Linked DNA regions of Lepisosteus oculatus. The protein of the gene in region 1 interacts with the protein of each later gene in a biochemical or structural test. Links are inferred from orthologs where the notes say so. Each region holds a gene or a part of one and is shown on either strand. Other genes may lie near its edges. The genes, in order: ccne1 and arih1.

Region 1 (15,888 bases):
AAAATGAATTAGATTAATTAGATTAAGTATGTGTATAGCAGTGGCTCAATGGCAGCTATGTGCACAATTTGTTTAAATACAGAAGATTGTACTAAATTGCTGTTTAAAAAATGCAGATTTTAGCTGAAATGTTAGAATTCATTTTGGCATAATCCACTCGTTACAACATATGCAGTGCCTTCTACTTCGATTAATTAAAATCTTTAGTTGATTATTCATTTGTTATATTAGTTGATTATATTTGTTATATATGTAATTCATACAGTAGCAGGTTACAAAAAGAACAAATGTTTTTCTGTGCAATTTTACACCACTCCCCTCAGGTTTCCACTGGGACCGTATTCTGCCATTTTACAGTTTTTAAGGATTTCAGTTACGTTTTCTTTAGGTTGCAGTGTTTGAAATTTAAAAACTAAAAATGCCTCTGTTGAATACACAATATAAAGTTGGCGTTTTGATATGAATGTGTTATTGCCTGTAAAAAAATTATCCAAATAATTATAGCTCTGCAAAAACATTGACACAATTTTGTGTATCTGAGGAAGTATGCTTCTTAGAACCTTTTAAGAGTGTTTTGCGCTTGGTTAATTTTTGCAGTACAGTACCATGACTTCTGCATCTATGTAAATGTATTAGTGTGTGACTGTTTCCTGCTTTTGTAATTCTGCCTAAACAAGAAACACTAGATCCTTTTAAACTCATTATGTATTAGTTCAACAGAAAAGGTGACATGACCTTCATCATTTTATATTTTAGTGAGCATACCACTATATCGTAATCACCTGTTCATACTGATGTATTTTGTGTTGTGTTTTATAGACTTACATATCACCACTTAATTCAGTGTGTAAATATGACTATATTTTAGTTTTGTTTCTTATATATGTTTTTATGCATACTTTGTCTTTAAAGAAACTTCAAATAATACAAAATAAATATCAGTTTCTATAACCTTTTCACTTTGAATGAATCACAATTTCTTAAAGATGCTATGCATTGAAGAACATTTTATTTACACAACTGTGCAAGTCTAAACAATTTTGATGAAATAGTTAACCATTACAATCACTTTTCTAGTATTATCACAACTTTGGCTTATTAATAAAGCTTTGAGTGAAAATAAACCACGACAGTCATTTAACAATACTTAATTCAAAGAGATTAGAATCTTCAAAAACCTGATCACGTTGGTTATAAAAGGTAAACTATATATAACAAGCCAATATGAATTCTAACAATTCCATCGCATTTGCCAATCAAATCTAATTGATTCATTTTCAGTTGACCCTTATATTAAACATTGTTTGTTTCTTTACACATTCATAAAGCTAAAAAACTACTTGTATGCTACTGAATAGGAAGTGAACAGGATTAACTGTAAATTTAAAACAAAATGGTACATATTTCAGTAGCAAATCACCACAGAATTGTTTCTGCATAAAGAAGGAAAAATCAGAGTTAAAATAGCAGAATAAATGCAAAATGTCTAATACATAATGCTGTGTATTTTTAGAAAATGCTGTTTTGTCTCATTATCTATAATTAATATCGGGAGTATCCACAGCTTTTATCAACACTGTTAATCCTACAAAATGTCTTGATTTGCAGTGGGTTATAAAGTCATAATTTCAGGGTGGTTATTTAAGTGTTAATTCACGTCTTAATGTTACGTCAGTCTCCATTAGCTGAACAAACCTTTGAGAAAAAAAACAGATCCACTACCTAGAAAACAAAAAGGAAGCATATCCACTACCTGCTGTAGTCTAACATTTTTGAATGCAACATAAAGCTTTGATATGAACAATGTTATGTAGATTGATTATGCAGATTTAAACATTATTAAATACATTCAGGTACTGAGAAGTTAGGATTAATGTATTGTGAAGAATGTTATCATTCCCTTCTATGAAATTAATTAAGAACCAACGGAAAGATTCAGACCAAGTGAGTGATTTATTATTAAACACTTTAGTCAAATACTCTGTATTTCTGTGCCAACACTGTGTCCTTTCGAACATCAATTTTTTTCAATTATTCATACTCTGAGTTTGTTCATCTTTCCCATGAATTTCCTGACCCTTTCTGGATCGACACTGTTGGCCCAAAATCCTCCTTTCTTAAAGTATGAGCCAATGATCATTGCACTTGCTTCAAGGTAGTGCTCCACATTCTCATGGGTCACCCCAGAGCCAATCAGAACTGGGATTCTTACTGCTCGTCTGACCTCTGCAAAATAAAGGGTGAGGTAGCTTTGTTATCTCTCTGGAGCACAAATAAATGGCATTGTTTCCATCTATACAGCACTTCATGGCCAATTACATTTGCCTATTGTGTTATCTTGCAATTAAATATCTTATTATTGCAATACTTTCCAATTCCACTTCTAATTTTCTTATTTCAAAGGCTTGAACTAATTAAACTAATTTCACCAGTTTCTGAAATGTTTTATCCCACTTGTTCTATTAGGTTAAATATAACAGCCTGGAGTAAATGCACTTGGACAGACAGAATAAGGAGCAAAGGTTGAATTTAAACCTAGTAAATTAAGACAAGCTTCACGGATGCCAGAGTGGTCAATTCAGAGTAAGCTTGTCTTTCAATCGCAGGATTCTGAATGAAGACTGACAGTTTAAAAAATGATTTTGCTACCGAGTGTCGGACACACAAAATCCATAATTTTACTTCTACCGTTGCACAACTTATACTTAAACAACAATGAGATGTATCTCATGAAACTGGCATTACGTGTGAAAATGAATATTGCCTGTGCCAGAAACCACACTTACAGTGCAGTATTAATTTCTCTATATTAATGGCCAGTACACAGCTATTTTTAGTCTTGAACACTTGAGCATAGTCTAAAGCAAAGATTACAAGGGAAGTGATACAAGTAATTAAAATATTCAAAGACACTGACTCTATGTGGAACTGCATTTAAAATCAAGAACAGGAGCCACTTCTTTACTCAAAGCATTTTGGTAGTATTGAAAAAGCTATCCAGACATTCCATTGAAGCTGGTACTCTGGCTTCTTTCAAGTAAAGGCTGGATACGTACCTTGGATCAGCCTTTACTTGAAAGAACCTTGTACTGGTTGTACAATGGACAAGATGGGCCTAATGCCTTCTCATCATGTCCTGTACAAACTCCTCATTTTAAGATATACATTTTACCTGGATGGGGCCTTTTAAATACATGACAAAAAAAATGATAATTTATCGAAGGGAAATTCTTAAACAATTTTGAAAACTGAAAATTTAATAGCCTTAACCCTGTTAACACCGTTACCACAATTTACCATCTGCAGCTTACATGTTTATTCAAATACAGTACAGAATACAAAATATGTTCAGAATACACTCACTAATTGGAAGATGGCACTGTGTAGTTTATATTAAAATCATATTTATACTGTAATGAACAAGAGAAATAACAAAAACAGCTGCTTGCCACTCAAATGAAGAAGCATTTGTGCTTGTTTTCGTTAATAAACTGGCACACGGAGGTCTCCTCTGAAATGCTCGGCAGCAGAGACATGCTGTAGGTAGGCAGAGTTCCAAGCAAGACGAAGGATAATGTGGCAGTCTGGGTCGGTCATGTTGTGTTTACCACCTTCAGCACAAATCAGCCATCTGGAACGTTATTTAAAAATAGACCAAAAGGTGGTGGCTATATTAGTAAAGCAAGCTTATGTCAGACAGAATGCATGCCCTTCACAAGAGATATCATTCAGGAGACTGGAATGCATTCGTTCCCAGGCGGCCCTGCTCTTTATAAGGCGTACAGATCCCACAGGCACCAGTAGCATTTAATATGATTTAACCTCTGAACCAGGGCAAACCTGATCACAATAATAAAACAGACTAGGAAATCCTCCATGAAGCAGACAAAAAAGGCTTTCCTTTGCATAGCACTAACAAAGATCAATTCATGTAAATTGATCTGTCAATTCTTACCAATATTATATAAGATTTTTAATCCATCTATGTCTAAAAAGGGAGCCAGTCAGTGTACATGTAATGAGAAGCATACATAATAAATAATGGTAAATACAAAGGCAGATAAAATATACTTTGTGACCTTTTCCCATAGCCTGCTGCAAGAAGTGTGAACAAACTCATTATACCAATTGTATTTGACTATTTATTATTACAAATAAATGAAGCTGTACTTTACAATATTTAGCAATGGAGATACTAAGAAGATCCATTTTCTGTTTTTCTTGTATTTTATTTATAGCTGCTAGTTATGAAATATGTTCGGTTACTCACGCAGTGATGTGGAAAAAAAAAGTACACCCCCTTACAGTTCTCTTTATATATTAAGACATAACTGACTTTCACCTAGTCCTCACAAAGTCCTGAAAGTAGATAAATCTAACCCCATGTGACAGATAACAGAAATTTGATTTTGTCATTATTTATTAAACAAAACAATCAGCCAACATTCAGTAGCCATGTGTGAAAAGGTTTGTACACCATGTGATTCATTAATGTATGGAACCACCTTTAACAACAATTACTTGAAGTAAATGTTTCCTGTAAGAGTTTATCCGTCTCTCACATCAACTGAAATAAATTATGGTGCACTCCTCCTTACAAAACTGCTTCAGATCGGTGATGTTGGAGGGCATGTGTTTATGCACAGCTCTCTTTAAGTCCCGCCACAGCATCTCAATGACGTTGAGGTCCTGATTCTTTTCATTTTCAGTAAAAGATTTACTGGTGCATTTTAGATCATTGTCCTGTTGCATAGTCCACTTTTGGATAAGCATAAGCTGTTGGATAGATGGTCTTACATTGTCCTCTAGAATGCGCTGGTATAGAGAGGAATTCATGGTGGACTCAATGACTGTGAGGTGTCCAGGACCTACAGCTGCAAAGCAGGCCCAGATCATCACCATGCTTGACTGTGGGTATGAGGTTCTTGTGGCGATACGTAGTGTTTGGTTTTCGCCAAACGTCATTTTGCATTACGGCCAAACTCCACTTGGGTTATGTCTGTCTAGAGGACATTGTTCCAGAAGTCTTATAGTTCATTCAGGTGCTGTTTTGCAAACATAAGCCATCAGCAGTGTTCTTTTTTAGATAGAAGGGGCTTTCTCCTGGCTATCCTTCCATGAAATCCGTTCTTGTTCTACATTTTCCTAAAGGTAGAATCATAAACTCTAATGTTTACCGTATTGAGAGGCCAGTTGTTCCCTGGATGTAGCTTTGGGGTTCTTTCCGATTTCTAGGAGCCTCATGTGGTCTGATCTTGGTGTGAATTTACTGGGACACCCACTCCTGGACAACAGTCTTAAACTTTCTCCATTTGTAAATTATTGTTCTCACTGAGGAATGGTGGACTTCATATTGTTTGGAAATGGCTTTATAACCCTTCCCAGACTGATAAACAGCAACAATTCTCTCTCTGAGGCCATCACAGATATCTTTTGACCCAGGCATTATATGCTACCACAAACCTGAATGCTCCAGATTAAACTTTTGTTTAAAAAAATAATAAAGTTTCTGACTTTATATACGGAGGAAGTGCTTTCTGATGATAAGCTAATCATGTGTACTTGTTTAGTAGCACCTTATTTTAATTATCTCCTTAACTGGCATGGAAGCAGTAAAGGTGCACGTACGTTTTCCACAAGTTATCTGTCATATGACATTAGATTGATCTACTGTTAGGACTTGGTGAGGTCTAGGTGAAGGTCAGATATGTCTGAATATGTAAAACCATAGAATCTTAAGAGGGTGTACTTTCTTTTTCACATCACTGACTAGTTGTTAGTAAACTGACACCTCATCTTCTGAGAGGACTTTTCCCCAAACTGAATGGGACAAAGTTAAATGAAGGAATGTATGAATTCCATGACAACATTATGGTCAGCACCGCCACTCCAGGAAATGAGCAAACTGTCCACTTAGATCCTGCAGCAGGCACCGTCGAGGTGTCGCTCTCTCTCGCCCAGGAGGGCTTCACAGGGCGGGGAAGTCTGACCTTCCAAGGCAGGACAGGAAACTCCAAACCAGGGTGATCCAGTCGGAGGGCTCTCCAGGAGACGGGCTGATTCAGGGGACACACGCCCTTAAAAAGGGGGGATCTCCTCCAAACACCAGGCCAGGCAGAGTCTCCTGGCAAACTGTCATCTGGGGAAGAGCCCGGAAGTGGACGGGACCAGTTTCCCAGGTGCCATATGGACCGGGCCAGCAGAGGCATATGCTAAGGTCGGGTCCCTGCTAAAGACTCAACCCCCAGTTCCAGTGCTCCAGGCAGCACAGCCGTGGGCAAAAGACGGAGCTCAGGCAGAGCCTGAGGAAACTGGGAAGAAGGAATAGGAAGGGCTCCGTTGGGAAACTGGAACGGTGGTTTAAAAGTGAGGTATAAACGTCAATGGCGAATCGCAGAGGAGAGACTGAATACAGTTTAAATACCTGCTGCAGTTTACCTCTCACTGAAGCAGGTATTCCTGCTCTGCATCAGTCTCTCTACGGCGATCAAGGCAGATCGAAGGCATAGCAGCCTACCACTGAGCTGCGACACGAGCATAACAAACAAAACATAACATTAACAGAAGACAACATTCAACCCACGACACTTATTGTGGCTGTCAGAAGTCTATTGATCATATCAAATCAAGGAATGGGCTTCAGGAGGCCCTGCCACTTGGGATAACTTTTGAGCAGGACTCACCTCTGAGGTCTTCAGGGTCGGCTTGTATACCTGTGGCTGTTCCAGTCAGGATGACGCCATCAGAGAGGAAGAACTCAGCAGCTTTGGCCGTTTCAGCCACACTGACATCAGACGTCAGGGCATGAGAGCTGAAATTAAATTATACTATTTAATAACATATGAGTTGCTACAACTTCTAAATTTGGCACCTCTTATGTCTACATAAGTATTTATCCATCCATCCATACATTATCTAACTGTTTTCATCCAATGCTGGGTCACAGGGATGCCAGAGCCTATCCCAGCATGCAAGGGGTGCAAGACGGGAAACGCCCCACCCTGGTTGGGTTGCCAGTCCATTACAGGGCAAACAGGCACAAACACACACACTGACAACAAGGCCAAATTCCTAAGAAACTAGTTTACCTTCTAGTATGATTCTAGACTAAGGGAGTCAACTGTGACACCAGGAGAAAACCCACACAAACAGGGGAGGAACATGACAAAAATCCACACAGATAGCAGCCCAGGTCCAGAATTGAACCCAGGGCACCAGCACTGAGAAGCAACAATGCAAACCACTGTACCCTGCTGCCCTAAGTATTTATTTTTAACATTATAAGAATTACTACACAGCAAAGTACCCTTGAAGAAAACTGTTTTTTTCACTGAACAAGCATAGTGCATCTTGGGGCATTCACAGTAGTACTATTTAAATTGGAAGTGTAACACAACTGAATACTTTTCTATAACTATGAGGTCATGAGTAAAACGCTTTGTGCAGTCAGTGGACAGTTATCTTACCTGTGTTTTTTCTTTATATCAGTGAAAATTTGGATGTGCTCAGCTCCTATTTGTTTGCGGTACCTTAACAGGTCACCAGCACATGCGTTTAAAAGTCCTTCATCTGCTACATGTGAGAAGACAAATCCTTCTGCGCGTATGAAATCAAGGCCTTATCAAGAAGAAAAAAAGAAACACTCACTCGGATGTGTTCTTTGTAGACACTATTTAAAATAACACTAAAGTTGTGTAATCAGCAACAGTTCACTAAAGTGTAAGCTACTCATATTTAGTTTGCAAAAAACAACAGTAAGATTACATTATATCAAGAATTTCCAGCGTTGCAATCCACACCTGAAAATTCCCTCAAGTCTCATGCAAGGTAAAAAACATTAAGCAGTTAAATAACATTACCTGATGCCAGAGCTACTGCTAAAGCTTCCCGGTTAGCTGCAGTTAGGATCTGGGCTCCAATGGGAAGGGTTGGACATGTCTGCCTCACTGCAGTACAGACTGCTGTCATAGTAGCATAGACCTCTGGTCCAGCAGTTGTTGTATAGGGAAGATCATGCATGTTTTCAATAATGAGTCCATCCTGTGAAATGCACAATTTCACTGTCATTGTTATTTAAATGCTATGGCCTAGTTAGGGCCTTTGTCTCGTAATTATAAACCGTATCCACAGTATGCAACACTGTGCCCATTAAAGCTCTTGTTTGGAGAGAAAACTCTCGTCACCCTGCTAAAGCACCGAATAAAAATAAATTGCATTTGAGCAGTTTTAAACTCCACTTTGTCATCCTACACAAGGAGTCAATCTTTCAGAAGGAACTAGAACAACTTGTTGGTAATCTAACTGCAATATCTAACTGCGATTGAATTAGTGTAGGACTAACTCTGCAGTCACTGCATTGTACTCAAATGTACCCCCAATCGCAGCCTCCACTATACCAAACAATCTCGACAGATAAAGCGACCAAAGTAAATCTTACATAACGATTCTTACAATGCCTGCATCGCTGTACAGCTCTGCTTCACGACATGCTGCTTCTGTTATTTCAGCAACTGCAAGATTGTTCAGCGGAGTACCTGAAAAATCAAGTTACACGATACCACAAATCAGTCTCCTTACATTTTAAACATCTACACCTGATGCAAAAAAAACAAGTTACAGTTTTAACCTGGTAGAGCCTTTACGTGAACCATGCCGATGACAATGGATTTTAAGCGTCCAAAAAGATTTAAAAACTTCATGTTTGACTTATTTTTGGTCAAACTTTGTTTTCTGTCACGTGACGGGTCAAAGTTTATGCGCCTCGTATTTTATTCAAATTAAGTGCAGTGCAATATTAGCGTGCAAAAACGAATAAATAAAAATACAAACTACACGATAGCATGCAAAATACACCCCTTTATAAAACAATTTTTGAAACCTATTATAAACTTTTGGCTATACAGTAGTGTTGTTTTATCGAGCGGTCAAATACAGTAAGGGCGCCACCTAATCCATCGTCACTTGGCTTGCACCCACTGCGCGGCACACAAGACTCCCCCCAGTTTTTGGCCTAATTCTCCCTCTCTCCGTCATGACAACCCGGACGATCGAACAAAGACGACAGGGGGCCCCGAAACGGATCACACCCCGCATCCAGCTCCACAGACCTCCGTGTATTTTCGAAGCTGGCTCGATTTGTTTACATCTTGCCGCGCCGAGCCATGCGGCGCTTTCCCGCAGTTCCGCATCGGGACTCCACCCCGCCCGGAGCGGTCCCCGCCTCCTCCCCCGCCATCCCGCCCCCTTTTCATTTTTGCCGGCGAAATAAATCATAAAAATAAACGCAGCTCGCCTAATAAATTGTTGGGGTTCGGGGCTTGAGTATTTTTTGGCGGCTCGACGTCAGAGAGCCGGACCGCGGCGGACGAGGGTACAGCCTGTGCCAGGTGGCGGGGTCGGCGTTGCGCGCCAGGTTTTTAAATGACCCGCTCAGCCACCCCCTTCTCCCGGCAGACAGGCGAGAGCAGCAGCTTATAAGCTCAGGCGCAAAACGCATCGCGCCAGCTCAGGACAGGCAGCTACCCAAGAGGAACACGTCTGAAGCGGGTAGCCTAAAAACAAAGGGCCAGAATTAAACCACTTCGATGAAACGCCACGAAAAATGATTAGCGTTTCTCAATGAACTGAGAGCAATAGTTGGATTCTTTTCCCCCCATTATTTTACTTTAAATACCCCATATTAAGAAGGGGGCATCTTTAAGGTAAGAACTGAATCATGGGAAGTCGATAGCACCGGTACAGAGTTTTTAAAGTTTGTTTTTAGAAGTTGTATTTTTCATAACAGCTGATCTAAAGTGGATGTTCCGAAGCTTGAGGTTGTATATTGTACATAAAGCGGTGAAAATTGGGTGTAGCTTGTTAAAAAAAGGATAGAGAGCGCGTTTTTAAAAACGAGGGATTTCCTAAATAGCTCGGCCATTTTATGTCTGGTTGAGCCAAGCGACCACGGAATCAAGAGTATTTTTATACTTTTTACAATTACTGTAAGCCATCCGATCTTTCAGGATTCAAAATATGATTTTTCAGCTTTCGATGTGTGTAAAAATGTAACCATTGCGTAGTTAAATCGAATTGTTCTTGTTACCTAAACGTTGTGCCCCTCTTCCATTCCCCGCGCTAAAGAAACTTGGCGTCTGAGCTTTTGTGAATGAGGTTTTGTGGGGGGTTGGGAGTAAGTTTCAGAACATTTTATATTCAGTTTTAACCAATTTTGTCTTTTCAGAGTGGCATTCTCGGCTTAACGAATTCCCCAAAGGATATCATGCCAAGAAAAAAGTAAGATTTTATTTGTTTTGGGCATTATTATACAACGATTAAAACGTCTATGTCCTAATGATATAGGGAGCAGTGTGTTCCAACAGTCGATATGGATTAAAATGTAATGCATTGGTATACAAATATTATTTTAATTATTTTTCAGCCTGAAGACCGGGCTGCAGACGGAGGCAAACGATGAAGTAACCAAAGAGAGGAGCACAACGCGTTCCAGGAAAAGGAAGGCAGACGTTGCAATTGTAAGTGGAACTGCACCCAGAGATCCCTGCGTTTCATTTAGTGATGTTAAGACTTATCTAAGTTTTTTTTTTATTTATCAGCATTTGCAGGATCCAGATGAAGAGGTCATCGAAATGACAAACAAGAAACAGTATGACACCCAGGTACTGTATGCATAGTCATTTTATGTGTTGGGTACATTGGTATTGGGCCCAGGCTAGCATACATTATTTTTCCTGATTTGTTTCAAAATGTAGTCTTTTTTAAAAAAAAAAGGTTTGTCTTAAAAGTTTTAGTTCTTTATAGCCCTTTTTGATATAATCCCAAGGTGAAATCATTTCAAGGGTGTTCTTTATTGCACTTTTAATAAGTGCTGCATTGTGAAATGTACTCTTTTTTTTCCAGAGGTGGTTAGTATTAATTCTGATATTCATTCAGCTCTTCTCTCCCATGTCCCCCCTCCAAAAAGAACATGCATAAGTCCTAAAGATAAATGTGTGCTCTGGTGGCAAAGCTAAAATATTTATGAAATGATTCAAAGGAGATGCTAAAAAATAGGTTCCCTCCATTCCTTGTCAATGTCGGATGAGAGCTGTGTGAAGTTGGCATTTTTTCTTGCTTAGTTAAAAGAAACAGCAGGCTAAAGGGGGTTTATTTGAGTATTGTATTCTTTTTTTCACTTATTGATCTGCCTTTTTTTCTTTTCTCTCCTCAGACTAGTTGGAATCCTGCCACAGGTTGCACAAGTCCATGCAGGCTGATTTGCACACCTGACAAAGAAGTAGATGAACCAGTTGCATTGAATGATGTCGGCTGTGCACAATATATGTTTAAAAATATCTTCATCACTCCTACAAGATCCTCCCCTCTCCCTGTCCTCTGGTGCGTCTCCATCCTGTAGTTCTTTTTTGTGTAGTTTGTAAATATTTTTTGTGTGGAGTAATTGGACAATTCTTATTTTTTTTTTCTATTCAGCTGGGCTAACAAAGATGATGTTTGGAATAACCTTCTACAGAAAGACAAAGTATATGTGCGTGACAATCGCTTTATGGAGAGGCATCCACACTTGCAACCAAAAATGAGAGCCATACTTCTTGATTGGCTAATGGAGGTGAATAAATTGATTTTTCTCTAGATTTTAAAGTCCTTGCGTTGAATATCCAAAGTGCCTGCACTTGCATTTGTTCATACAGCTGCATGTTTTACTGAAGTAATAGAGGTGACATGCCTTGCTCAGTGTTACAACTGCAGTTTCTCACCTGGTATTTAAACCCAAAACCATCCAGTTACAAGTCCAGAACCATAATTGTGGCTGCCTATTAATTTGGGTGGGGAGTAATGAGGTGAAACGTGTTTTGTCTTCAGAGATTACTATTATCAGGTATCGTGATGTGATTATAGTTCTGGACCTTACCTAGCCCTTAGATTGACTAGCTTTTTTTAAAACAGTTGATGCGAGATCATACAAAGGATAAATGTGAATTGGGCTTTTGAGTTCTTAACTAAGCCTAAGTGAAAATAGAGGTATTTAACTTTTGTCTTCCCTCATTCTACAGGTATGTGAGGTATACAAGCTACACAGAGAGACCTTTTACTTGGCACAAGACTTCTTTGACCGTTTTATGGCAACACAAATGAACGTTGTAAAAACAAGACTGCAACTTATTGGCATTTCCTCACTGTTTATTGCTGCAAAGCTGGAGGTAATTTTTTATGTTGGCATTTTGTAGTTTGTGCTCTTGTACATCTATTTCTGTCTTCACACTTCCTTCTCATGGTGACGTCTAATGATCTTCAGTGGTTACGAAAGGCATGTGATTTTTTTTCCCCAACTTTCCCTGTAGGAAATCTACCCTCCTAAACTGCACCAGTTTGCCTACGTTACTGATGGCGCTTGTACAGAGGATGAAATTCTGGATATGGAGCTGATTATAATGAAGGTACTTGAGCTGTAAGAATTTATTGCATATTTAATAAACAGCCACTCAATTTAAAATGATAGCAAGTCCCAGTTTTTCTGGCAGCACCTGTCCTGCGTGCGCGTGGAGAATTAGGGCCTGCAGATATTCTTTTCCGACGTGCCCACCTGTTGGGGGCCATTCATCTTTTGTGTTCTGATAAAGCCACTCCAGAGCCCTTTTCTTTCCTTGAGAGGAGGAAAATAAGCAAAAATTAACACTTTTAGATTAATGCTATCCTCTTGAATAGTCACTTTTTGCATTGCCTTTTTTTTCCAAAGAATATTTGAAATGTAGTTTGTTCTCACACTGACTGGTCCTTCGTTTTTCAGGAGCTGAAGTGGAGTTTGAGCCCTTTGACAGCCATGTCCTGGCTCAACATATATATGCAAGTAGCATATTTAAAGGAAAGCAGCGAGATGTTAATTCCACAATATCCCCAAACAACATTTGTACAAATTGCAGAGGTAAGATTTTAAATATGGGTATGAAAAATCCTCCTCACTTTCTAGTATGGGAGTGGGGGGGTCATTGCTGCTTTGCTCTATTTTCATAATCTAGTTCTTGGTTTTAAAGCAACATTTGCACCCTTTTACAAAGAGGAGGTCTGAGGTTCATAAAATACTTTTTCCCACGTGATCATGAGTATATGATGCCTTTCTCTGTTAACTGTCCATTAAGGGAGAACTGTAATACAGGTACATCAATGACATTAGCATGGGCAGTACTCCCTGTGCTCATGTTGGGTGCCCAGGAGAAGGATTCATCTTTTGTGATTCAAATTTGTTACCATAAATTTGAAAGGATCCAAATGAGAGGTGGTCATTCAGCACGCATAGACTGTTTGAGAGTTAATTCAAGGATTTCATCCAGCCGTTTCTTGAAAGAAGCCATGGTATCGGCCGCAACAATGCAGATGGGTAGCTTTTTCAACACTTCCACAGGCCTTTGTGCCTCCTGCTCTTGGTTGTAAACTCGTTTCCACTTGTGGCCTCGGGGCTGGTGAAAACGAACCAGTAGACTTCTTCATGCTTGATTTGTTGGTCTCTTGGAGGATTTAATATAATATTGGGACCTACCGGAATGTACCTCGTCACCTGCCACTGGCTGAGATAGAATTAATGGAATTTGTTTCCAGCTTTAACATCAGATGAATTATTTTCACACCCAAAGTAAATGCAGTAAAATTTTGCCTTGATTTCTTTTGCCAAGATTTTCCCTTGGTTTTTTTTAGCTGTTGGACCTGTGTGCACTGGATGTCCGATGCCTGGAGTTCTCGTATGGGGTGCTGGCTGCATCTGCCTTGTTTCACTTCTCTTCAGTTGAACTAGTGCAGAAGGTTTCAGGTACAGAAACTGAATTAATTTGCTGAATAAATGTGCTCACAGTGTAGCACTGTGGTGGGAGGCCAGAGTATTTACTACCACACCTTTTGGGTTCTGGGTCTTATTCTGGCGTGGAGATTTGCAAATTATCTCTCTGGCTATGTGGTTTTTGCTCCGCTTTCCTGCTACAATGATGTCAAGGTTCTGTACATATATGTAATGGTGCACTAAGCATTTACAGATGTAACATCCGTTTAATGAAAATTAGATTAGAATTCTCCTATCAGGGAACATCTTGTCTTTTGGTGTAATAGTTCATCACTGTCTAGGTTGTGGGACGGTGTGTGTTCAGAGCTTGTGAAAGACAATGTTCTAATTCTGGCAGGGACAGAGCACAGCTCCACATGGCTTATTTGAGCTCTGTCAAAGACTGCCATTCTGTCTTGGGTATATCTTGCCTCACAACCTTTGTCTGCTGGGTTAGGCTCATCACAGCCATGCATTGGGACTAAGTGCTTATTAAAAATGGGTGGCTTATTGGTTAATGACATTCTTTTTTCCTTGCAGGTTACCAGTTGCAAGACCTCGAGCCGTGTGTGAAGTGGATGGTTCCCTTTGCTATGTCCATTAGGGAAGTGGGCAGCTCGGAACTGAAGAAGTTCAAAGGAATAGCAGCAGATGACCTGCACAACATCCAGACACATGCTGCTTTTCTGGAGTGGCTGGTAAGCTCCCACAGAAATATTTTCACAGATACATACTAATAGTTGCAGACCTACAAATCTTCAGACCAGTCATTGCTAAAACCCACCATTGGATTATCTGCTTTTAGACGGCCCACTTACTTGGGTTTTACCTTTCTCATTTTCAGGAGAAAGCGTATGCTTACGAGGCTATGGGTTTGGATCAGAACCAGCGGTCTCCAGTGCCTTTGAGTGTTCTTACCCCACCTCCAAGCAGTGAGAAGACGGGGGTTTCTGAATCCTGAGTCATCAAGGATCTTGAGTTGATGAATGAGGAAGATAAATTCACTGAGCAACGTTCCTGGAGAGATGTAATGATTTCAGGCATTACTGAAAAACTCATTTTAATGTCTGCTTGAGCATGGGCACAGGTTTGTGTGTGAAGTTAAAAAGGCCCTTTTTAGTCTCAAGTGGAATTTTTAAAATCGGCATTTTAATGGACGTGGTACCAGGTTAACCACCTGACAAATATTTAGAGCTACACTTCTTGCTCTGATTGCTGCTAGAGAAGGTGGGACTTGGACCGTTCGGTGATTTTGACAGACTTTTTTTGCATGGCCCATACTGTTTTTCACTGCTTGATTGGGTCCATTGGGACCAAATGTGCCATTCAGGGGACCAGAGGAAAAACCAGCTTGATAAGCAAAATGCATTGAAATTGTAAGGTATTATGCCTCTTATTTGTAATTTTTCAGAGTATCGGTTTACCAAATTTTTTTTAACAATGAAATGCTGCTACCTTGTATATCACTTTTAAATAAAGGTGCTGTCTCAGACAGTTTTATATTGTGAACTCTTTGAATTTGATTTGTTCATTGTGACACTCCTGTATTTCTCATCTTCTAGACTTTATGACTTCAATGCCAAAATGTTTTAAATTTATTGCAAATATGGGAATGGAGAAGGTCAGGGTTTTGCACTGCATGAATACGGTTATCTTCATTACACAGTGAAGGCACTGCACTCTCTCTCTCGCCTCCCCAGCTCACTGGGGCTGGTAGCTGAAGATTGATAAGGAAGGGGAAGGTTTCATGTACTGGCCTCCCACTGATAATGCTCTTGCACTTTCTAACAATGGCATGGTAGTCTTGTCATCTTGAATGTAGAGTACTCTGCATTCCCTTCAGCCCTTTTATTTTCCTTGGTCAGTGTTGTCATCCTGAAGCCCTCTTGAGACAGCTTTTCAGTGGATTCCCACTAGTGTTGGCTTTTTTTTTTATATAACTGGATATGTACAAAACATGAGCTTCTGTGGAAGGGGCAGGTACCTCTACCAGAGTATTTTAATTTCTGGTTTTAAGAGAAAATAGTTCTGATGTAGAAAGTGGCATCACTACAGACCAAGAAAAATATTTGATTTTTTTTTTT
Region 2 (16,636 bases), on another chromosome or scaffold:
GCCGATTATCATATATTATAGATACCACATATTACAGATATTTTTTAATATTGACATTTTATCTTCAGGCATATTAAAGTATTACTTTAACACAATTGAATATATTAGATGATTCGATGCCCATCTCAGTCCCCCGATCTAAATAAATCACCAGGCACTCAATGGGATAAGTCAGGCGAGACCATCAGCAAAGCCAAAGAATTGTAGAACTTGGACTGAGTCAATGATGAAGAATGTAATTGCCCCATTGTAACAGAAAATGCCATGGCTTAAAACAGTAAAAAAAAATTAAGGTCCTCACATTATCGAAGTTGTCTGCAAAGTAATTCTTGATGACAAGCGAGTTGTTTTTGATTAATGAAATTCTGAATACCATTATGAATCATTGACTTTTTAATGCATTGGTATATTAAAATGAGACATTTTGCAAACAAGAGGGGGGCAGAATCACCTAAACTGATCAAATAGGTCTTTAAGCAGTTGCTGAAGGCAGGAGGGAGATGTGCCTTAGTAGAGTGGATTTCTCCAAGTTCTTCCGATGACGACTGGCAGTCGTGTACGACAGAGCCCGAACGAGCGGTGACCGGCGGCGGGGGGCGTGATGGCTGCGTGCCTGTGTTTGCAGAATCGGTGAGGAACACGCCCAGCGCTGACCCCTTGCCCGTCCCAGTGCAGCCGGCTTGCGCCGTGGACCACCCCGAGCCGGACAGCGGCGCCAGCTTCCTGAGCTCCGCCCCCGAGGAGGAGAGCTACAACCCGCCCACCGCGCACGTGCGGCCCACCCACCCCCTGAAGAGCTTCGCCGTGCCCGCTGTGCCCACCCCGGGCACCTCCTTCGAGTCCCCCGCCCTACCCAGCACCCCACTGCTCACCCAGACAGGTGGGGGCCCCGGGACATCACGCCTCTCAGACTGGGGGGGTATGACGCAGCGGGTCAGGGCACCGCGCGGTTTGGGCTTAAGAACTGGTTCTGCTCCTGCTGTACCTATCTTTCTCCCTGTCCTTGAATTTCAGAGACAGTATTTCTAATTCCACTTGTCTAAACTGAGCCATTGTCACTTGCTACACTTCAGACATTTGACTTGCTTTAACGATATTATATAGAAAATTAAGGCCAAAGTTGGTAGCTGGGCATGTGTGTGGGCATGCAGTCAGCCTTTGAACACAAGAAAGGTTACAAACGAGAGCACCTGTCGGACCTGTTTTGACCTGTTAATTGATTCCAACCTCCTCCAGCCCTTTCTAAAAAACTGGGATCGGTATCCTATGCCACATTTGCACTGTCCTATTCCGACCACAAGTCTGTCATTGTGCCACTCCAGCTGCTCAGTTTCTCCTCCTGTTCTAGGGCCAGCTTCCCAGGTGCACTCAGTGAAGACAGCCTCCATTGGCACACTGGGCAGGACGCGCTCACCAATGCCTGTCATAGTGCCCAGTGCCCCTGACGTGCCAGAGACCAGCAAAATGCTGGAGGATGTTGAGAGCGTGAGTACAGTCCGTAAATATGATTTCTTTTTGTTATATACATTCTGATGCACTGCCTGGAGAGGGGCACAGCCTGGAACTGGACTGTAGGTAAGTACTGTGTAAGTGCAGAGCTAGCAGCAATCAGGATTTATGCACTCTCTAGCAAGTTGATTTGGTTAGTTGATTATGTATTAAACAATACAAACATGGCAGTTTAGCCAAATATTTTTATTTTAAAATAATTTGGTCCTTACTCCTGCATTTTAATGAATCTGGTTATTTGTTCTGGCAGAGTGTTTCTGCATTTTGTCCCAGTACTTACTGATCAACCAATTACTAGTTAGTCAATAAAGACCACCTCCAAATTTCCCCATTTCAGCACCGTCACTTGTTCTACTCTCCTCTTTATATCAATCTCTGTTTGTCAGTTATTTTTAGATTATAATTTGCAGATGTTGCTATGGGAACAAACGGATTAATCCAGAGGTGTGAAACTCATTTCCTGCAGGTCCCAGTGTCTTGTGGTTTTTGTTCCACCTGAGCTCTGTTACCTGGTTGATCAAAATGTTTAATTCACTTCATAATTTTAAAGGTACCTTTTAATGAAGTAAATGTTTAGAGTGCACAGGAGCTCAAAACAAAATATTTTACGTGCCTAGCTAAGAAAATAATTAGGTAATTGCTTAATTGACTAAAGAGTTGGAGCAAAACGCAGAAGACACTAAGCCTTCCATGAACCGAGTTTGAGACCCATGAGTTAAACTGAGTTGAGCAGGTTATTTCAGTCTTAAACCTCCAGCTAGCTAAAGCTTGTCAACAAACACGCTGTCCATGTGCCACATTCTGAATTATTTTGAATTCTTTTAGTTTTGGAAAGGTTGCAGGGTAGTGTTGTATTTTTAAACAGTTTCTTACAGTCTACTGCATCTCTACTATCAGGCATATGATTTAGGCTTAGTTGCAGTTTGTTCCTTACCAGTAAATGTAATTTTGTTTTGCTTTGTAGGTGTAAGTTTTATTTTTGGAAATGGCTGTTAGACTTTTTTCCACCAAAGAAGTCAAGACTCAGTTTTGGTTCTAATTATTTTTTTTTATTTTTATCTCCCTTCTCTTCTTCTCTGTCTGTTTTTGTTCCTCCCCTCTTGTTTTTTCTCTGCTCATTTCTTCAATCACCATCGGCTGCCTTCTTGTCGGTCTCCGTTTCCCTTTTTTTAATACCTCGTTTGACTTGTGTTTTGTTGTTTTGCTTTCTGCGCATCTTTGTAACATCACGCTTCCTGATGCTGTGGCAATGGTCGCCTCTGGCTGTGTTAATGTTCCCGCCTTTTTTAAATTCTGTATTGGCCTTGCGCTGCAGTCCCATTGACCAACTCCACCCCCATCCCCGGCAGTAACCCTGTTCCTTTCCTTTAGAACTACGAGGCGGATGAACTGTCCGAGGAAATGGCCCACCTAGAGGGTTTGATGAAGGACCTCAATGCCATCACCACAGCCTGAGCGAAATGGAATGTCTCAATATTCCCTGAATGGAGCAGAAAAAAAGGATTTGCAAAACTTCAAAAAATAAAAAAAACTGAAACTCTTGGCTCACCTCACTTACTCTCAGGAAGGAGATGGCCGTTTTAAAAGAGACAGCTCACGTTTTTAAGAAGAACAAAGATTTTCAGTACAAACAGCAATTAGCTGATGGAAGTTTCATTTTTATCAGCGGAAACGGGCTTTTTTTTTCCTTCGGTTACCATGGAGACCGTTATTCGGACAGACACCATTTTGTAACTCTAAGAAAAAGGAAAAAATAAAGAAGTATGCCGGTTTTTGTCTTGGTGCTCTTGGGCACAGGTCTACAGTGTTTGGACATTGCGTTAGTGTGTCATTGTGCGTTTTCATGAATCACCCTTTTCATATGAGGTGGACACGGGACATCCCTCGCTCTTTATTTCCATTTTGTATCCAGCGTTCAGAGCGAATGATGTGCCCGTTTCCCTGTTCTGTGTTATATATTGTGCCACATTACTATTATTTTCTATTATTGTTTCTTTTTATTTTTTATATATATATAGTTTATATATATAAACTGCCTCATTCTCTCTCCATCGTTGACGTGTTCCTGGATGTGAGCGTGAAACACTAAGATATCTCGTAGCTCATGAAGCTTCTGTCCAGTGGGGGAATGTTGTGTATTTTTAATTTTATTCTATTTTATTTGCATTGTTATGTCAAGAAACTATTTCCCTCCCCCCATTGTAAATTAGATCTGTTTTGTATGGGAGTCCCCATTCAAAGACTTATCTCCATGGTCCTGACTTGTCATTCTTATTATTTCATGAAGAGCAACAGCCTTCAGTAGCTTTGTACAGTAATTTCAAGAACTGCGATTCCATTTAATTCATTTCTAAAGCTAACTTTTGTTCTGAAGGTGATATTGATCATTTCAGTTAATTATGGATGCTGTTATACCCTAGGGCAGTATTAGCCTCTAGTTTTGCCTGGGGTCTCCCTCTTCTTTTGTTCATATCAACCTTTCCTCATTTAAAAAAAAAAAGCACTGGTCCCTAAAATCTATGGGTGGGGTACCCCAATTTCAAGGCATCCTGGGTCAGCAGATCTTCCAAAGGGTCAGCAAGTGCTCATAAGGGCCAGACTGCTTACTGGAGGAGAGTGTTGACTGACATTCGAATGCTTCTAATTTGGGAAGAGGAAGATTTGTGGAACTGGTCTGGAGAAGAGCTGTGTAATGTAGATGACAGTAGGTGTTGATTGTGAGGCCAAGGAGAGAATTGACTTGAAAAATCACAGACCCGGAGAGTCAGCTTTCCTTCAGGAGGAACAAAGCGTGTGTTCCACTAAAGCAGGAGAGATCTTTCCTGAGTCAGCACTAGCTGGAAAGTGTCCTAGATAACATCAGTTATAGAACACACTTTCTTTTGTTTTCAGATACCTGTGACCCATTCCAAAACTGGAAGAACTCAGGACACAAACCTTTTCAATAATTTCTAACATTTATGGGGAAGGCAGTAATTTACTAATTTGGAACTGCTATTTTTTAATAAAAAAATGCAAAGGGTGTTGCCTTTTGAATGGGACTTCCAGACAATGGTTTTTCGGCTTCATTTGCTTTTTATATGAAGAAACACAATTAGTTCTGTAAACAACTGAAATGTAAAATAATTCGTGTTCATGTTTTAAACTTGTTTTCCTCCACCCTTCTACCCAAAGAATGTCATTGAAATCATAATACTAGTCTACTTTTGTGAATATCATGTTTCTCATAATGTACATCCTCATGAATGTTAATATAACTGTAAGAAAATTTACTTATGGATACAAAATGTTAGAAATGTTGTTCAAAGCTGAGCAAAAAAAAAAAGAAAAGGACCCGTCGGGGAATTGAACTATTAAGTTGTAGACAGTCAAACCTGTATTGCACTTTTTTCACAATTTTCAAAAAACATTTTCTTACATATCCTGTGTTTTAAATATAAAGCTATGTTTTGTGTACCTGTAGTGTCATAGGTTAGCAGTTGGCAGCTGTTATTTTTTTTTATTTTTGCCTCTGAAATGAATTGGAGCTGCAAGTTTTATTAAGATGTAGGAGATGAGAAGAACCCTACTGTTGCTTCTTTCTGTACAAAGACCTTTGCTTTCTGTAGAATAATCTGTGGCTTTTTTAAAAAACAAAACGGGAAAAAGCAAAAAAAAAACTTCCATGTTCTTATTTTGTATTGGTGCTCCAATACATTTTATATCCAACCATTACGAGTCAAAAAATACAGTTTGTTGTGTATATTTTACATCTACTTTGGATACTTGGATTAATTTTTCTTTCTTTGTTACTAAATCTTTTTAAAAAAAGGCAAACTTTCCAGCTGGCCTTTCTAGAAGTCATGGTTTCTGGTGAAACTACTCCTGGTTACTGTAGCTCCTGCCACCCACACAGCAGAGTCAAAACTCTTAGGAAATGCAAATATGATCATTCCTATATCCTGTGTGTACCTTCCTGAAGAGTTCTCAAATCACAAAGCATATGAGAATAAATCACTTAACATACGTAAGCCATCCCAAGGGTATCACTTTAGAGAGAAGATCTGAGACTGTAGTTCTGGTTTTTTAAGAGATTCCCCAGATTACTTTGAGAGGCTGATTTCCTTTAGCAGCATCCAGTTTCTTTTTCGGAAGCTGTTACTCCTGTCATAATAGCCAACAACAATCCGGGACAGCTCGGCAATAAGCAAGACGCAAAGAAAACACAATGGGTGTGGAATGGAAATGAATTAGCTGGGAACAGCAAATGATGTCACCTGCCCCCCATTGTATCTCTGCACACAACACACTGTGAGGCACCCACTGCGTGTTGTTTTGGGGATATTGCTGGTTTGAGAGTTCTCCCCGTGGCGAGATGGCCAGTGGCTGTCGTGATCAGTGACACCAGGAGGAAAAGCTTTGGCCATGCGTGGTGGAAGAGGGGGTGGGAGAGGAGTCAGCAGAGGGGGTCTCTCCATCGAGGTGAAATTTATGAGACTAGAAATGTGTCAACAACAGGAAGAGACGGCCCAAGCTGAGCTACGTCCTGCGGCATTCCAAGTGCAGTGCCAAACAAGTTTTTTGGAGGAGAAAGAAATATCTGAAAAGAGGTTTGAGAAGGTAAGGTGAAACGGTAATGTGGATGATTCTGATGAAGGAGAAATTAGGGGGCACAAGGGGCTGTTAGAAAAATCGGAAAATTAATTGAACTGCAAGCCAAGTTACAGATGATCAACAGCCTTGTTCGCATTTACATATAGTAATCCTGAGGAAAGGGCTGTGAAGGGTGTACTCGTTTCCTATTATACTCGTATCCTATACTTCCTATTGATTCTTCATGTCAAACAAAATCCCTCTCGGATCCCAAGCGGGCAGCGTGGGACAGGGTTTGCTTCATCCTGGGCCATTTGACACTGGGTTATAGAGCAATGAGAACCTCTTACACATAGCTCACCTTTTTGTTACACAATATAAGGTATTTACGTCAAAACTCGCATCAAAATCATGCTTTGAAATAAATTCATCCAGAGTTTAAGCCAAACCAGGGTGAAGCCCCGTTGAATATTGTCAGGGAGTCGGCTCCTACTGGGTGCTTGTTGATGTACTTTATTTTTATATTTTTCAGTAATCCTGAACACAAACAGCTAAGGCAGCGTGTTCTTTTTATGAGACAATGACAAGATTCTGGCCATAGGGTGGTGGTGTCTGCATTAAATAAGGAAAGTGCTGGACAAAGGAAATGATGGTTTACAAACAAAACTTAATGAGAGAAAAATATATATTTCTATTTGACAGTTTAGTGTAGGCTTTCTCTTCTGCAGAGCTTGGACTCCTTATCCATAAGTCCTATTATGCTGGATAAATGATCCCCTCATATGAAGTTCCTCTGGTGTAAATGTGGCTTACTGCTGCACTGCATATCAATGTTTCATCATTAACCATAAGGTTACTGTCAAGGCTAATATAGGACTTTACAAGTCATTTACTATTCCCCCTGGGAAATGTAAGCAGAACTGAACTGAAAGATAATGGGCTGTTATAGGTCTCCAATGTTTCTCTCTCCACAAAAGATATGCCATAAAAATAACTAGCTATTCTGCAGATTTATGTTTGTAATAAAGTTTCATACATAATAAAAGATGAAAGTCATAATAGAGAACAATGATTATGCAATCATACAACATGCATATTTGTTAATGCAAACTAAAATTACATCGTGAAATGATATTTCCTGTAACACAGAGGAAATATATCTCGTTAGTAACTGACTTGATGAGTGCGAGTAGGCAGCGTGTTCTGATTCATTAAAGTATGTCTAATACTGTTTGACACTTTACCATCAAAGTTATTTTCTTGCTAGTGTAAAAATATGTATTTCCTATTTTAGCTTTAGAGTGTGGAACTGAATCATTGTATTACATGTCAAATATAATATTAGAGAGGACGACACCGGGGCGCAGTGTTGGGGCCCTGGGTTTCATCCCAGACTTGGGGTGCTATCTGCCCGGGGTTTCTATGTTCTTCCTGTGTTTGTCGGTTTCCTCTGGGTGCTCTGCTTTCCTCCCACCGTGCAAAAACATACTTGTAGTTAATTAGTGTGTGGGAAAAATGGGCCGCAGTGTGAGTGTATGTCTGTGCATTTCCTGATGCGATGAACTGTTGTCCCATCCAGAGCTAATCCCTTCTTGTTCCTGTTGCTTGCCAGGATAGGCTCTGGCTCCACCGTGACCCTGTAATGGATCAAGCAGTTAGAAAATGGATGATTCAATACAACTGTTTACTGCATAAAAGTATAAATTTTTGGTTTACGTCTGAGCATTCGTGTTGGAATACAAAAAAAGGCCGGTATCCACCATCCCCAATGAACATGAATAAACAGTGCGTTTTTAAAAACAATGGCATATCCCTCTGAACGCCAATAGAGGAAATGCCAGCACAGGCCTTGTGAAACAATGTCTGTCTGTCTCTTGGCCAGGTCGCCAAACTAAATGACAATTTGATCTCAACTACGTAACTTGTGTATTGAAATAAAAGATTCCTAGGCTGTGTGTTCTTTCTTTGCTCTTTAAACCACCCCAATGGTGTAACGTGCCTTGTAGACATAGAACGAGGCTTGACTTGCAAGCCCAGTATAAAGTATCGAAATCAATACACAAATGACTTTATCTATCTTGAATTAAGAGAGAAAATATGTCATTCTGGCAGTATTTCGTAAATGATCAAACAGATGTTTATCAGATTTTTTACGTGATTTCAAATGAAAGAGCCAAAAATATCACCTAGGGTAATGTATAAAGAAATAACAGAACTCGGAGGAGCACCGCAGTTTAAAATTTACCACACCTGACTGAAATCCCTACAAAAACAGAATGTTAAAAAGGTCTAAGCCAGTTTAATCACTCATCAGAGACACCTATGGAATGACCCAAAAGCAGTCCTAAACGAACCAGAATAGAAATAACAGCGAAATATGCACTCGACAATAAATCATTTGTTACTCTTACTAGGGCAGTGTCAAGGGTCCCTGGCGTGAATCCCAGACTGAAACTTTTCAAAATTATTCTTATATACTCGGGAATTCTTTCGCTTTAAACCTTGCCATTTCAATCACCTATAGCTAGAAAAGAAAGATTTGTAATGCGTTGTAAGAAATCTAAAATTACTTTAAAAACAATCTCAACTGGGATCTTCAAGAAGGGCGAATATAAAGGAGGCTACAACTGTTCCAGTGAGCTATTTATGTTTGCAAGAATATTGTTACCCAGGTGACTAAGGACATCCTTAAGAAATCTTGTTAAAATTTAATCTAATTTAAACTGATTGTGTAGCAACTAAATAAAATTATTCTATTAATGTTTGAGCTATAGACTGGATTTTTCTCCCTGTTTGCGTTTTGTTTTAAGACACTATGCACATTATTTACAACTCCTCTGGTCTACTTTTATATGCGTCTCCACGCATAGCAGATTTCTTCCTGGTCTTTTACATCTTTATAGATGCCACCCGGGTTCTTAATTCTTCAAAAACATCGAGGAAAACACATGAGCCCGTAAAATGGGGAGCAAGCGCCAGTGCACTCTTGGGAGAAATGGGAGATCTGATAAAAAAAAAAAGTGTGAATCTAGACGAACAAAAATACTAAATGAATTTGTGATTAATCCGTCCAATGAAAGTCCTTCGTCAATGTGCTTTTCCACCTTTTCACAGCCTTCCCGTCTTTTGCCACACTCAATATGGCTAGGATTGCATTTCGAAATCTCCAACATGGCGGTTATCCCTGACCAACATACACTTTTCTATATGTATATATATATTTTTTTTATTCTTTCAACTGACTTTATTTACACTCAACAAAAAAAGCAGGCAGGTCCTCTCGGCCGCTCTGTGACGCGCTGTCGACGTCAGTTCGTGACGCCGCGTCCCTTTGTTGGCTCAGCAGTGGCGGCGCTTGTGTTGTTATTTTCTCTGCGGCTGAAATTTTTTAAGTCTGTATGAATTTTTTCCTGGTGCCGTTGTGTCTCACGTTGTAAATAATATCTCTGTCGAGCCCCCTTTGGACCTTTCGCTTGTCTCAACCCGGCGTGAACATAGTAATGGACTCGGACGAGGGTTACAATTATGAGTACGACGACGAGGAGGAGGAATGCAGCGAAGACAGCGCCGAAGAGGAGCCCGAAGACGACACCCTGGAGCTCGGGGAGGTGGAGCTGGTCGATCCCGCGGAGGCCGGCGGCGAGCGGGACGTGTGCGGGGAGACCGGGGGCAGCGGCCTGGGGCCGGGCCAAGACGAGGAGGACTACCGCTTCGAGGTGCTGACCGCCGAGCAGATCCTCCAGCACATGGTGGAGTGCATTAGGGAGGTCAACGAGGTCATCCAGGTGAGGTGTTTCGAGGCGAGCCGGCTGCAGGAAAGGCCGGGGATGCGGGGAAAGCGGTAGGCCGGAGATGGCCGGATGAGACGGCAGCAGTTAGCTTGGGTCTGTTTGCAGGTGGGGAGGGACTGCGACAGAGCACGGCCCCCCCACTGGAATAGCATTGCGCGAAGGCCTGTTTGGAAACGGTTAGTTTAAAGGGGGGGTGAACCAAAATAAAAAAGCGTGGGGTTTTCAGAGTAAGTAGGGTAACTTTTATCAGGGCGGTGCTCATTCCCAGACGAGAGCTTACTTATCTCGCCGTAGAAGGCGGGCGACAACGGGGGTTTTCGGGGACGGGGGTTTATTTTTGCCGGTTCGGGATATCGGCGTGAAAAGAGGGTAAGAGGGGGTTTTCACTGATGCTGTCCACCTGCATGATGATTATTCTCCTTAGGCCCGACAACAACATGGCGGAGAGCTGCTGCCTCTCCTGTTGATAAAGAACTCGGCTGAGAGTGTTGACAATGTATAGTTTAATTCGAAACTGTCAGCCCTGTTTGCAGCCCTGTTTTAATGAGATGGGGGCTCGTTTTCAGTGGACGGTAGTGACGGCAGCGGGTGGGAAAGTCGTTCAGACGGCGGTCCCATTTTACAGTTCCGTGCCGCACAGCGCCTGCTTAGCCAAATAAAACTTATGCTAAGCAAACACCGCTCGACTTTAAGGTCCTTGTCTGGTGGCCGTACGGTCATATTGGTCGAGGATTGTTAAAGCGACTTCTTTTATTAAGGAAAGGTGCTGACTCGGGGATTTCATTTGATCCCGGGCCAGAAAGCCCTTTCCTCCTCTGGTACAATTTAAGCGGCGGCTGTACTGATTTTCTGGGATTGACCACAAGGAAGACCGTTGTTGCTGAAGTTTTGTTCAAATTATTTATCGTCATTTTTTTCCTCCATATTTTAGTAAAGCATGTAGGCTCCGGCAGTATGCAGGCACTATGCACAATGCGGCCAGGAATCAAGATTACCTAAAGTGCAAAAGAATGAAATATATGTTCACTAAAAGGGTTGTTCATTTTACCCTTTAGTTATTTTATCAGGATCAAGTAATATGCATCTTAATTGTTCCTAAGTCCTGAAATATGTAAAAAAAAAATCAACCTTTAGCTTTCTGGACAATACATTTCCATAGTAAATCTGTAGTCTGTAGCCAGCAGCCATATCGCCCTGCAACTCACAACTGGCAGCCCACTGAAGCTCAGCAGGTGTGAGCCTGGTCAGTACCTGGATGGGAAGACCTCCTGGGAAAAACTAAGGCTGCTGCTGGAAGAGGTGTTAGTGGAGCCAGCAGGGGGCGCTCACCCTGCGGTCCATGTGGGTCCTAATGCCCCAGTATAGTGACTGGGACACTGTACTGTAAACGGGTGCCGTCCTTCAGATAAGATGTAAAACCGAGGTCCTGACTTGACTCTCTGTGGTCATTAAAACTCCCAGGGCGTTTCTCGAAAAGAGTAGGGGTGTAACCCCGGTGTCCTGGCCAAATTTCCCATTGGCCCTTACCAGTCATGCCCTCCTAATAATCCCCATCTATGAATTGGCTTCATTACTCTGCTCTCCTCCCCACTGAGAGCTGGTGTGTGGGGAGAGTACTGGCGCACTATGGCTGCCGTTGCATCATCCAGTTGGGGCTGCACACTGGTGGTGGTGGTGGAGGGGATCCCCATTACCTGTAAAGAGCTTTGAGTGGGGTGTCCAGAAAAGCGCTATATAAGCGTAAGCAATTATTATTATTATTATCTGAAAGTTGAGATGTCTTATTATGGTCAAGTGGACCAGTCTAAAACAAATCATTTTTCTGACTAATGCATCTTCTTTACAGAAATACGTTTAGAAAATTCCATCCTGTAAAGCTTGAATGTACATTTTTAAAATTACATTTTAGTCAGAAAAATATTTAGAAGTTTTAAATACCCTTTTTACACCTACATCCTTTGACAATCATCTGGTTTATGAGTTACCTGCTGTTGTATGAGCAGCAGCCACTTATGAATGATTAATAATAATAATCATTGCATACACTTATATAGCGCTTTTCTGGACACTCCACTCAAAGTGATTTACAGGTAATGGGGATCCCCTCCACCACCCCCAGTGTGCAGCCCCAACTGGATTTGTTTTTTGCTTCGACAGCTACTCTGTAAAGAGTTTAAATCTGAAAATAATGGCTTAAAGTATTCATGATGGAATGGATTATAATTCCAGTTTCAGATTTCAGATTAAAGTCCTGTTTCAGTTTTTTAAACTCAACAGGAGACAAACCGATGAGCAGATGCACACATGCTGCCAACTAAGCCACACTGTGCCCTTTATACCATCAGAATTCAGCAAAGTTCTCTAGGGGCAGAGCTTTACTATAATCTGTAGTTATATACTGCTTTATTTCCAGCGCGTTCAAGTTCCAGTATTCATATAAATTTGTTTGTTCATTGCAGAAGCTTTGACTCAAGATAACTCTCACGCTGTACACTGTGTAAAGCTAGCCTTTTTTCTTTTATTTGTTTCATTTTAAAGCTAGTTTGGTGTGCAGATTGTTTTTCTAACGTGTTTGTCATTTAGAAGACTTATTCATAAAGGAATCGCAGTGTGCACCCAGCATATATTGATAGCATTTTCAGTGTTTAGAAATGCAGGACTTCTTTTCATTCCATGTGCCCAGGCGGTTTGGTTCTGCTCTCCGTTGTTCTGGTGATGTGGCTTTTAATATTTCTAAATGATCTTTTGCATGACCCTTGGGCTCTGGTGGAGACAGGAATAAAAGGTATCTTACCTCCGTTTAATAAGCTTCAGGTGATGAATGTCCACAAAAGTGGAGCTACTGAGGGGGAAAGGCTGGTATAGTCTGTTATCCATGCGAGTATTGGATTCATTAGACGCATTGCCATCTTATAGTTTGTTTGTAATCTGTAGCAGCCCTGTAAGTAAACATTTTTTTCCTGTTCAAGAATTAACTGCTTTATGCTATCAAAATTAGAAAAACATTGACCGTGTTGTAGAGGTGGAAAAATAATTTAACAAAAGTACAATTAAGTTGTTTTTTAAAATATGCTTTGTCACTTACAACTGTAAATCAGACCTCCTTTGTAATACTGTCCTGTATTAATAAGTTTTGGCTTCCACACCCTTGGCACAGACATGGGGCCTCAGAGAGAAGGGATTGTGAATTTTGAGTGGGTGTTGACGAGCAAACATCTTCTCTTCCCTGCCATGGCATGTAGGGATAGGGTATAGTAAACACTCCCTGTTTTGTATGGGGAAGTAAATGGAGGAGGCCCTCTGGAACTCAGCAGGTGGTTCAAATTCACTTTGCCTGTCTTTAAATGCAGGAATTGCACCTAGTTCTGTTTTTGAAAGTCTTTAAATGTGCCTGCCAAGAATAGTTAGTAGTTGACAAACAAGGCTTTTGTGCAAGGTTTCAAATATCATGTATTTTTCCTTTTTTGACTTTTTTTTGCTAACTTTTATTGATTTTTTTTTTTCATTCGTTTGAAGTATTTTTTTTCACGTTCTGTTGTGCTGCCAAGGGGTTTGAGCAGAGCTGCAGAAATTAAACTTCTTAGAGCTAGACTACAACTTAAATGTTTTAACAAGACTGTTGGCATCAATGAGCTAAACACATGGAAAAGGTGACTCATTTGTGAGAATCCCTTAGGATAAGGTTACAGTCAGGCCAAAGAACGGATTGGAATAGTTCCAAAAGGTATTTTGTGCTATTCACCTTTTTTTAATGATCTTGACGTATTCTGCACACATTTTAGTAGGGTGCATATATTTGAGTGATAGTAGCACCTGCAGTAAAGTGCTAGATTGGAGCAGCTGTGGAATTCCCTTTTGTTCCTTTGTGTTAGGGATGCTGTCTTTAGATTGTATGTATTAGTGCTGGCTTCCTGGCACATACTCTCCCCTGCAGTTAGTGTAAAAGAAAACATACCTGAAGCTGTGACCCTGTTTCATGTCCTCATTTGACTTTATGACCTGCTTTATTTTTTTGTCAGATTCCTTTTTCTTTATTGATAATTGCTGCAATTGCATGTGGTGCTGCTGCGAGTGATGAATGTCTGTGGCATTACGAAATGGTTGTCCTTAAATCTAAATATAGTACTTGGTATATCCCAAGGTCCTGTTTGTTACGTCTCACTGTCACATCTGTGCAAAAGGGTTTTCTACACCGTGCACCTAGAACCCCACAGGTGTCTTGCTGGTGTTTGGTGTTTTAAGGCGCTAGAGAGAAGGTCAGAAGTTGACACTGCCCGTCATCCACTTTACCATCAGCTGGAAGAGGTGTTTACTGTATCAACAATTGTCTAATCCAGCTAATGGCAATCTTCTTAGTTTAACAGAAAAACGAATCCATTGAACGATAACCTTTCAGATTTTTGGTTTAATTTTTCTTTCATAGATAAAGATTGTTCTGTAAATATAATTTTAAGACGTCATACAAGGTTAAGATATTAGGCTGCCACTTGGTGTTATGGTTATCTTGGCAGCCTCAGCTCTTGAGACCTTGGTTAATGTCTGGATTTGTTACCTTTTCTATAGAGTTTACATGTTCTCCATGCGTTAACATGGATTTTCACCAGTTCCAGTGGCTTTTTCCCATCTTCAGAATAAATGATGGGTAGCTTGATAGGTTTTTTCACATTTTCCTTGTGTGTGTGTCCAATGATACTTAGTATCTGTTAGCAACAGATAGCATCCTGTTCAGGGTATAATCCTGCATACCAGGGTAGTCTGTTTTGGAATGGAATGAACAGCTTTTTCAAACTATTTGAATGGATGTTAAGGTTTTCAGCAGTGTACCCTGACAAGGAATGCAATGTGTGTTAAAATAGTAAATGAAAATTCCCAGTCTTTCTAATGTCAGCGTGCAGCATCTTAAAAAAAAATGAAATGTGAATAGTATCCATCTTTGCATAATTTAGAAAGCAAAATCCATTTGTTCCTTCTGTTTAAGCAACGTTTAACAGTCGAAAGCTGTAGATAGTAATACAAAATGTCATATGATATTGTACTCCCAACATTTCATAAAATTACCAGCCCTGTGGCTTTTTTGCAAGAAGGTGTCGTCTAAATCTTTTATTATTCTTAAACATAAATCCACTATGCTCTCTTTGTGTAGTACACTATCAACTGTTGAGGTGTCTTTGTTGTCTCTATAGTTACATTTTTGGAGGCTGACTGTCATTTATTGGGTTGAAATGGATTTCTGCCTAGAAGTTGGCAAGCTTTTAGGGATCGTTATGGTTTTGATCTTATACAAAGATCTGCTAAAAACAGCCTTTTATCATACAGTATTGTCTGAATTGTTAAATATTGCCCTCTTTTCACATGATTTATTCTCTTGAAATAAAAATCCCGAAAGAATGTTGCAAGTTAATTTCTTTATGTATATTTTCAAATGATCATCACATGCTCTCTTGTTTTTAATGGGAGATGCTAACAGTTGGCTTGATGTGACCTCAGCTAATGAATGTAATTGGATGATTCAATACTCCTTTCCTTCTGATTTGGAATTTGTACTGACAATTTTCCTCTATTTTAGCAGTCCCTAATATTTTTTGCTTTGGATACAATGGATAAATTCTGCTAAAGGGGAATTATGTCTGTAAAATGGGAAGTATTAGACTTGCTGTGCAATAACGATGAAATACACAAATAACAGAACAAAGTTAAATCTTACACAGGTTTGAGATTTAGGAATAGTAATGGTGCCCTATAGAGGTAGATCAGTTCCTTATAATAAGTTTGTTTTGTTTGCTTTAGCAAATTATTTGCAGTGTATTTTAAACACATGAAACAGCTTGTATGTTTGAGAGAAAAGGCATATAAACAGTTTTCATTGACTGTTAATTGCAATTGTTAAAAGTCAAAAGGTCCATTAAGCATGTGTAGTATATATGTTTTAGTGCTTTTGGGCATATAATTTGTGACTTAGTGGACACCACTTTTCCCCTGTTAATTCAATAAAGCAAGAGTTTACTATATAAAAGGATATTTTCAGACTTTTATTGCAAATAAATAAAGATGTAGATCTTACTTTTGCTTTAGTTCACTAATTAGATTTCTTTAAAAATGCATTGTGTAATATTTTGCTTTCCACATTAAAGTGCAGAAATTCTGAGTCTAAGATTTTTGGTAATTTAATTTTTATAGTGGTAAATTTTAGGCAAAGTATCATAGTAGTTGTATCGTAGGCAAACACATGCACATAAAAATGTCAGCCTGACGTGCACAGTCTTTTTGAAATAAGAATAGTTTTTGCAAATCTTTTTCATTAACATTATGTTGTAAATGGTAGACCTAGTATACTGCTTTGTGTTTGAGAATCATAATGTTTTTCAGATGAAGTAAAAATTTCAGAGGGGGGAATCATTAGGTAAGATCACTTTATTGGCCATATACAATTTCTTGTGTTAGGAATTTCTTTTTGCATAACCCAGCTTGCTCTCCATGAGACACACAGACCGGAGAGAAGCTTGGGGTCAGAGCACAGGGTCAGCCATTTATACGGCACCCCTGGAGCAGTTGGGGTTAAGGGCCTTACTCAGGGGCCCAATGGAGTAGGATTCCTCTGCCGGCTGCGGGATACGAACCGGCAACCTTCCAGCCACAGGCGCAGATCCTGAGCCACAGAGCCACCCCACCGCCCTTAGTGTACAGTGAATCATTGAAGTTTGAAGTGATTGCTTGGTTTTGAGAATTACATTAAGAATGTTGACCTGTTTTTGAAGGAGTCTTTC

Evidence for each region.
Region 2: of the proteins of ccne1 (region 1) and arih1, one has a biochemical effect on the other in vitro, tested with the Homo sapiens proteins (3 studies listed by BioGRID). The link is inferred for Lepisosteus oculatus from reciprocal best matches to the Homo sapiens genes CCNE1 and ARIH1.

Annotation. Positions count from the first base shown.
Region 1 is NC_090715.1:5,977,453-5,993,340, reverse strand, and holds ccne1 (G1/S-specific cyclin-E1), read left to right. Parts: upstream 1-9,326; 5' UTR 9,327-9,701; intron 9,702-10,222; 5' UTR 10,223-10,261; coding exon 10,262-10,275; intron 10,276-10,420; coding exon 10,421-10,514; intron 10,515-10,595; coding exon 10,596-10,658; intron 10,659-11,209; coding exon 11,210-11,376; intron 11,377-11,469; coding exon 11,470-11,605; intron 11,606-12,050; coding exon 12,051-12,197; intron 12,198-12,338; coding exon 12,339-12,434; intron 12,435-12,784; coding exon 12,785-12,919; intron 12,920-13,686; coding exon 13,687-13,798; intron 13,799-14,344; coding exon 14,345-14,502; intron 14,503-14,648; coding exon 14,649-14,765; 3' UTR 14,766-15,313; downstream 15,314-15,888. Other genes in the region: uncharacterized protein F13E9.13, mitochondrial, read right to left, coding at 2,036-2,226, 6,684-6,811, 7,467-7,617, 7,860-8,040, 8,452-8,534, 8,627-8,699. UniProt on the Homo sapiens protein: Essential for the control of the cell cycle at the G1/S (start) transition.
Region 2 is NC_090700.1:59,709,435-59,726,070, forward strand, and holds the start of arih1 (E3 ubiquitin-protein ligase arih1), read left to right. Parts: upstream 1-9,377; 5' UTR 9,378-9,581; coding exon 9,582-9,866; intron 9,867-16,636. Other genes in the region: neogenin, read left to right, coding at 626-880, 1,349-1,485, 2,881-2,964. UniProt on the Homo sapiens protein: E3 ubiquitin-protein ligase, which catalyzes ubiquitination of target proteins together with ubiquitin-conjugating enzyme E2 UBE2L3.